Sus scrofa: one gene and its partner. The protein of the gene in region 1 purifies or fractionates together with the protein of each later gene. This does not show direct contact. Links are inferred from orthologs where the notes say so. Each region holds a gene or a part of one and is shown on either strand. Other genes may lie near its edges.

Region 1 (3,914 bases):
GTGCTTTTTATAGCTTTTTCTATCTTCTCCCTTGTGAAGTGTCACTTCTTGCTATTAATGGTGCGCCTACCTCTGGCAGACTTTCCTCTGCACCCTTCTCTCAAGCTGCGTTTAGAAATAGATAACTAAGTTTATCAGAATTACATCTCCAAAGGAAAGAGAAGTCTACAGGGAGAAAATCTGATTTTTCAATGAGAAAAGAGAAAGCCTTTTTTTTTCTTTTGGGGTCACAATACCAAAACTTCCTGACCTTTCATTTAAATTTCTTTGGCATTTTCCAAAAAGGTGAGCTGCCAGGTAAGTGTCCACCAGGGAATTGAGTCCTTGCTATATTAAAGTGTACAACTGTACTACATTGTAATTCTACATCAGAAGTTAAAAGCCTATCTGAAGCAAAATAATTGTAGACAAAATTACCTTGAATTCAGAAACCTAAGTGGAAGATCTGGTCAAAATTCTGAGCACTTAGTAGGTAAAAGTGAGCAGTGAGCAGAGGCACAAATATCAAGAAATTTTACAATCTAATTTTACAATGAAAAAAGAATTCAGGGAGTTCCCGTCGTGGCTCAGTGGTTGACAAATCCAACTAGGAACGATGAGGTTGCGGGTTTGATCCCTGGCATTGTTCAGTGGGTTGGGGATCCGGCGTTGCTGTGAGCTGTGGTGTAGGTTGCAGACGTGGCTTGGATCCCGCGTTGCTGTGGCTCTGGCATCGGCCGGCGGCTACAGCTCAGGTTAGATCCCTAGCCTGGGAACCTCCATATGCCGAGGGAGCAGCCCTAGGAAAGATTAAAAAAAAAAAAAAAAAAAAGAATTCAGCCATCCTTTCAACAGATACAGCGACCATGTATACACACTGAATCTAATCCTAAGTAATATTTCAGGTGTTCTTCTGAAAGCCACGTTACTAGACAGCTCGTAGTCTTTTCAATAGTAATTTCCATCTCTGGACAACTGTTAACCCTCTTAAGGTATCATCTGAAGGTGGACCACACCTGGGAATCAGTACTGTTTTACTTTCCAGGGAGCACAGGCTCCAGGGCAGAGCAGCGGCAGTCCCCGGCTCTCACCCGAACTTCCCCAGGGACGCAGGCTAGGTCTCTGCCACACTCACAGGCCAATCCACGCTCTCGCAGCAGCCTCAACCGGCAGACTTAGCAGCCCTGTCACCAATTGCAACAGGAGGCGGGTGGGACTTCCGCTATCACTTTAGGCTTAACCCCCACCATCTCAGCACAGGCAGAGCAGTCAGGAAGTTCGAATTTCACAAACTTTGGGATCAGGCACAGTTTCAAGCAGAAATAAAGGAAGGACAAACACATTGGAAGGCAGAGTGGCAGCAGTCAGAAAACCAAAACAGCCCCCCCCAAAATTTTTAAAAGAACCACTGTGGAAAAGGAAGCAATCGAAACTCAAGTCAAGGGTCATTGATTTGCATGTAATCTCTGCCATCACTGCTGGGTCCTGAAGCACTCCTTGGCCTGAGTTCAGGGAGGAGCCTTCTGCCAAATGGACAGCAGAGTGCTGGACAGTCGAAGCTCTGATTACCTGAGTGCACAGCCCAAAGTGGCAGACTCTTCACTGTGCAGAGAAATAAATCCTGGAAACTCTGATTCACATTCTCTTCGCCCTGACTTTTAAGCTACTCGTTTCACATCACATACACAGAACCAAAGACTTTTTCACGCAGACTCTCAGTACAGAACTAACAGAATTCCATGTCAAACTTTATGGCTCTTTGAAATCTAATGCACACAAAAACCAATTTCTCGAAAAACTACCATCTTACAGGGAACCTGGACCCAGGCCTGAGTTCTCAAGAAGAGACCAATTCCTCAGGCCTTGCCCAGGTCACTGCCCCCAGCTGAGCCGGAGTGACCGCAGTAGGCAGAACTTCAATCCACCCTCAATGGATGGAGACCCCTTCCTGTTGCCAGCCAGCCCACCTGCTCCCACAAAAAAACCTGTTGCTGTTCAAGTCTTGCGAAATTCGAAAACGAATGTCTCATGAAAGTTGACGTTAGGAGCTTTAAAGAGTGGAGGAATACGCGGGATCTCAGCAAGGGCGGCACTGTGCCCTCCGAGCTTGCAGCTACCGCCTGGGGCAACCCAGGCCCCCAGATCCCGGGCACTCGCAGCCGCCGGCCGGACTCCAGGCCGCGCGTCCATTTTGCAGCAGGTCCGTCAGACAGACCAGGAGGGGAGAGGAACCTGCGGTCCCCGGGGCCCAGACCCCCACCGGGGCCCCGGCCCCAGCCCGGCTCCAACTTCAGCTCCTGGCCCGCAGAGACCCCAGATCCCAACCCCGGCCCAAACGCAGATTCCAGACTCGGACTCGGCCCCGGGCTCCAGACTCAGACCCAGGCCCGGACCCCAGACCACCCGCCCACTCCAGACTCCAGTCCAACTCTGACCGCGGACTCCAGATCCCGGCCCACCCTGACCCTGAATTGAAGCGACCCCGGCCGGCCCGGGCTTCCAACCCTGCCCCTGGCCGGCCCGTCGGCCCCTACCGACCCCGGCCAGCCCGCCCGCCCTCTCAGCGGGCCGCACCTTGACGTGGAAGCGGATGAGCGCCAGGCGGATGCAGTGCGCCATGCAGACGGGTGGCAGGAACCAGACCTTGGGCGGCGGGGTGCCCTTGTTCTGGACATGGCTGACGATCTGCTGCGCCGTCTGGCGCTCGTTGCCCTGCCGCTTGACCCATTCGTGCAGCCGCGCCTTCTCGAGCGCGCCGTTGAAGAAGACGAAGAGCTCGATGTTGCCGCCGAAGCAGGCCTTGGCTAGCGCGGCCAGGTAGCCGAGCATGTGGTTCCACTGGCCGCCGCTCACCCAGTCGGTGTAGAAGCCGCCGTAGAGGCGGTGCAGGCAGTTGTCGGCGTCCACCAGCAGGCGCAGCGGCGTGTGCGGGGGCCGCTGCCGCCCGCCGCCCACCAGGCTGCCCCGGGCCAGCTTCTGCAGCTCCACCGGCACCACGGCGCTCGGGCAGTGCTTCTCGATGTAGTCCTGGAAGCCCTGCACGCCCATGGCGGCGGCGGCGGCGGGCGCGGGGCGGCGGGGCGGCGGGGCCGGGGGCGGCGGGGCCGTGGCGCGAGCCGGGGCCGGGGCCGGGGGCGGGCTCTAGGGGGGGCCGGGCCGGGCCGCGGGCGCGCTCATGGCCGCTGCGGCCGCCATGTGCTGCCGCCTCCCAGGGCCATGGCGGGGAGGGACCTGCGCCGTGCGCCGCTCCAGGCCCAGGCCAGGCGGAGGCGGCCTCGCGCGGGCGGCGGCGGCGGCAGCGGCGGGGCGGGGCGGGGCGGGGCGGCGACGGCTGACGTCCGCGGGCCGGCGGAAGAGGCGGTGCCGCGGGGCGGGGCGGGCAGCCGGAGCCTGAGACCCCTACCCACACGATCCCCGGCCCGCGGGAGGGGCGCCCGGCCCAGGCGGTGCGCGGGGTCTGCGCGAGCTTCCGGGAGGCCTCGGGGCGGCGGCCTCACCTCCTCCGCTTTATGACCCCTAGAGCTGTCACCGGGGAAGCCTCCTCGCATCCCTGGGGTACGGTCACCCCAGACGGTCTTGTCCGCGGAAGCCAGTCGGACAATCCCTTTCCCGGCCCCGCTGCGAACCGCTCACCCCGAGGAGGCCACGTTGTGTCCTCGGGATCCGATCACCCTGAAGAGTTCTCATCCTGAAAGCTGGTCGCCTCGAGGAGGAGGCCCGGCCCGTCGCCGATGGCCATAAGAAAGCCCCATTGTCATCCCCTGCGCCGGTCATTCCAAGGAGGCCCTCTCGCGCCCCCGTGGACTGGTCACCCAGAGAAGGCCCCTTCCCGTCTCCAGGAGTCAGTCACCTGAGGAATCCGCGTCCATCCCCAGGAGCTGGTCACCCCGAGGAGACCTCAGCCTGACCTTGGGGTATCATCCCCTCAAGGAAGC
Region 2 (3,814 bases), on another chromosome or scaffold:
GGAGTTCCCGTCGTGGCGCAGTGGTTAACGAATCTGACTAGGAACCATGAGGTTTTGGGTTTGATCCCTGGCCTTGCTCAGTGGGTTAAGGATCTGGCGTTGCTGTGAGCTGTGTAGCCCACAGATGTGGCTCAGATCCTGCGCTGCTGTGGCTCTGGCGCGGGCCGGTGGCTACAGCTCTGATTAGACTCCTAGCCTGGGAACCTCCAAATGCCGCGGGAAGCAGCTCTAGAAAAGGCAAAAAGACAAAAAAAAAAAAAAAAAAAAGCTTATACATATGTGCACATGGGCGTATTTCAAAAGAGAAGGTTCATAGCTTTTATATTATTCAGTAGCTCCAAAAAGGATAAAACCACGTTCTTTTAATTCTTTCTTTGGAAATGCATCCTTGGTACAGTGGTTAGATTAACTGTCCTAAAGCAGTTTTTGTTATTTTTCTCCTTATAAAACAATATACAAGGGAAATTCTAACATGGACTAAGCTTGAACTCTTTATGATCTCCCATATATGGTTTCAAAGTACCTAGTTTACTTTGTCTTATAATTTTCAAACAGGAATACCAAGCTTTACTCAGATTGTTGCCTTCACTCTATTAAGCAAAGATCTTTATTTCTAGCTCGGTCTTCACTGCTCTTATCTTGTCCTGCCTATTCTATGCCAGATGCGAACCCTACCTCCTAATGTATTCCCATTTCATTCAGTGCACTTTTTTTTCACCACTGATAGGCCATCTCACACTTTTTTTTAATTTAATTTTTTTAATGGCTACACCTGTGGCATATGGACGTTCCTGGGCCAGGGCATGAATCTGAGCCGCAGCTGCCCACTTACATAGCAGCTGTGGCAATGCTAGATCCTCTAACCCACTGCTGGCCAGGGATGGAACCCTCACTTCCTCAGCAAACCAAGTTGCTGCAGTCGGATTCTTAACCCACTGAGCCACAGCATGAATTCACCTGTCTCACACATTTTTGAACATTTTTTCATTTGTCAGTTTTATTGAGTCTTCTGTAAATGGCAGTATCTTTGCTAGAGAGCTCAATAAACCTTAATTGAGGACCCAAGTACTATACTGAGTATTACTAATAACAGTACTAGGTACCTGGCATGACAGAGCTTTAGGAGTTCAAAGAGCTTTAGGAGTTCCCCTGTAATGCAGCGGGTTAAGGATATGGTGTAGTCACTGCAGCAGCTTGGGTCACTGCTGTGGCACGGATTCGATCCTTGGCTCAGGAACTTCCACATGCTGTGGGCCCAACCAAAACAAACAAAACAAAGCAAAAACCAAAAAGCTTTTAAAAAACCCTTCTATTACCCTTTAACTACTTTTTGATTATTAGATCGTGACTATCCAACATAATTGTATATTCCTTAAATGCCAGAGTTGCTATATATGCCATTTGTATCTCTCTACTTATATTCATGAGTATACCATAGGTATTCAATTAATGCTGGCTAATTGAAAAATTTAGAAGGATCTGAGAGAAAATTTTGATATGTCTCTTAGGGTTATCTAACAGTTCTAATTAACAATAATTATTTCCATATTTATAAATTTTTATACTATCCTGAAACCCACTAGTTGAATTATTCTACATCTCATTTCTAAAGGTCAATATAACTAGAAGTATGACAAAGAATATTTTCCTTGGCCTCTTTAAAATTCTTATTCAGGAGTTCCCTTCGTGGCTCAGTGGTTAACAAACCCAACTAGATCCATGAAGATGCAGGTTCAATCCCTGGCTTTGCTCAGTGGGTTAAGGATCTGGCATTGTCCGTGAGCTGTGGTGTGGTTTGCAGATGCAGCTCAGATCCCACGTCGCTGTGGCTGTGGCTATGGCTATGGCATAGGCTGGCAGCTGCAGCTCCAATTCGACCCCTAGCCTGGGAACCTCCATATGCTGCAGGTGCAGCCCTAAAAAGAAAAAAAAAAAAATCTTATTCTTCAGAACGTATAACAGCAATGGCAGAAGGTCTGATTAATGTCACTTGAGCTTGAAATTAACCTGATGTATGTTTTTTTCTCAAAGCTAGTAAATCTTAAACCCTATCCCTATTATTTATATGTCTATTAGTACACAGTTCTATTTAGAGTTTAGGTCAAACATGAACAAATATTACAAAATACTTGAATTTCTTAAAAATATAGAGAATAAATTTAAAAAACCCAATCCAACCTTAAGTATTAAAGAATTTTTAATACTTAAAATTCTAAAATAATTTAATTAACCCCCCAAAACTGTAGAAATAATAACCAATGGAAACTTAATCATGGCCCCCAAATAATTTTCATCCTACAACTATATGTATTTTAAATCTTATTGCTAAGATTAAGTTAGCAGGTAGGGATACAAGCACAAACCAGTATTAGATTATTAGAATAATTAGAATTTTTTTCAAATGTCTATAACAATGATAAGTGAATACATCCTTACTTCGATCACAGTTTTCTATTGCTTGGGCAGCTTGTGATGGTTTTAAGTATCGAACGTAGCCCAAGCCTTTACTTTCTCCAGTTACTTTATTCTTAATAATGCTGCAGTACTCGATATCTCCATACACCTATGAGAGTTAAAAGAAATAATCTTAGAGAAGTCAAAATTAATAACTGAACAGATTCAGAACTAGGTTAAAATTTGTTTACTTGTTCTTTTTGCTTGCCAAAAGAGATCAGCATTTACAGCTATTTTTAATAATGCAATAAAAATGTCACAAACTAAATGAGGCACTAGAAAATAACCATAATAATGATAAAATCAAATAATAACATAACCAAAACGCTATTTTTGATTTACTGAGCATTTGCTTTACATATATCACCTTATTGTTCTCACAGTTCTTCAAGGATGTACATATATTATACTGCTTATTTCACAGATAAGGTAACTGGGCCTTAGAGAAATCAAATAACTTATCAAAATCATGAAGGGCGAGTAAGAATTTGCACATGGTCTGGAAAGCTCCAAAATCTTGCCTAGTGGTAGTTAAGAGCAGAGGCTCTGGAACTGAACCTTCTTTGTTCAAATCTTGGTTCAGCCACTTATTAAACTGGGCAGTTGACTTATCCTCTCTGTGTCTTATGTCCTCTTCTGTTAAATGGGGCTAACAGCTGTACCACCTCATAGGGTTGTTTTAAGGGTTAAAAGAACAAAGACACCTAAAGTGTATATACAGGGACTGGTACATACCACACAGTAAGTATTAGCTATTGTTATTCATCTGCCTTCTCACAGGAACATAAATGACTGTGTTTTCTTTTGAAGGAGTACCTCTCAAAGCATATCTTTGAAATGAAACACATTGTTTTACTCACAAAGTTAATACTCTATGTGGTGAATGTTTACTTTTTTTTTTTTTCTTGTGCTCATGGCATGTGGAAGTTCTTAGGCCAGGGGCTGAACTAGAGCCATAGCAGTGACTGGAGCCACTGCAGTGACAATGCTGGATCCTTACTTTGCTGTGCGTCAAGAGAACTCCAAATGTTTATTTTTAATGCTGGAAACAATATGGGATATAAATCCTTAGTGTTTATTATTTATTTTATAAAATATTCATGTAATAAATTAGTAATGTGTAATTACTATACATTTAGATCAAAATGCCATCAGTGTTTACTCAGAAAAAGAAGTTCATAAATACATAAGGTAAAAACTCTTTTCTACTATTGGGGTATACGAATATATATTTTTGGTACTTGTTATTTTTGAAGTATTTTGTACAATTCTCAATTGAGACAGGACAGAGGAATTACTTGTTTCTTTCCTTCCTGCTTACTGCCCATGTGATTCATAGTACTTGGAAGATTAGTAGAAA

Evidence for each region.
Region 2: the proteins of FAM120A (region 1) and RBM45 purify together in Homo sapiens (co-immunoprecipitation; 3 studies listed by BioGRID and IntAct, with this or other methods). This does not show direct contact. The link is inferred for Sus scrofa from reciprocal best matches to the Homo sapiens genes FAM120A and RBM45.

What each region holds. Positions count from the first base shown.
Region 1 is NC_010445.4:42,860,771-42,864,684, reverse strand, and holds the start of FAM120A (constitutive coactivator of PPAR-gamma-like protein 1), read right to left. Parts: upstream 3,092-3,914; 5' UTR 3,028-3,091; coding exon 2,554-3,027; intron 1-2,553. UniProt on the Homo sapiens protein: Component of the oxidative stress-induced survival signaling. May regulate the activation of SRC family protein kinases. May act as a scaffolding protein enabling SRC family protein kinases to phosphorylate and activate PI3-kinase.
Region 2 is NC_010457.5:83,799,065-83,802,878, reverse strand, and holds part of RBM45 (RNA-binding protein 45), read right to left. Parts: intron 2,564-3,814; coding exon 2,437-2,563; intron 1-2,436. UniProt on the Homo sapiens protein: RNA-binding protein with binding specificity for poly(C). May play an important role in neural development.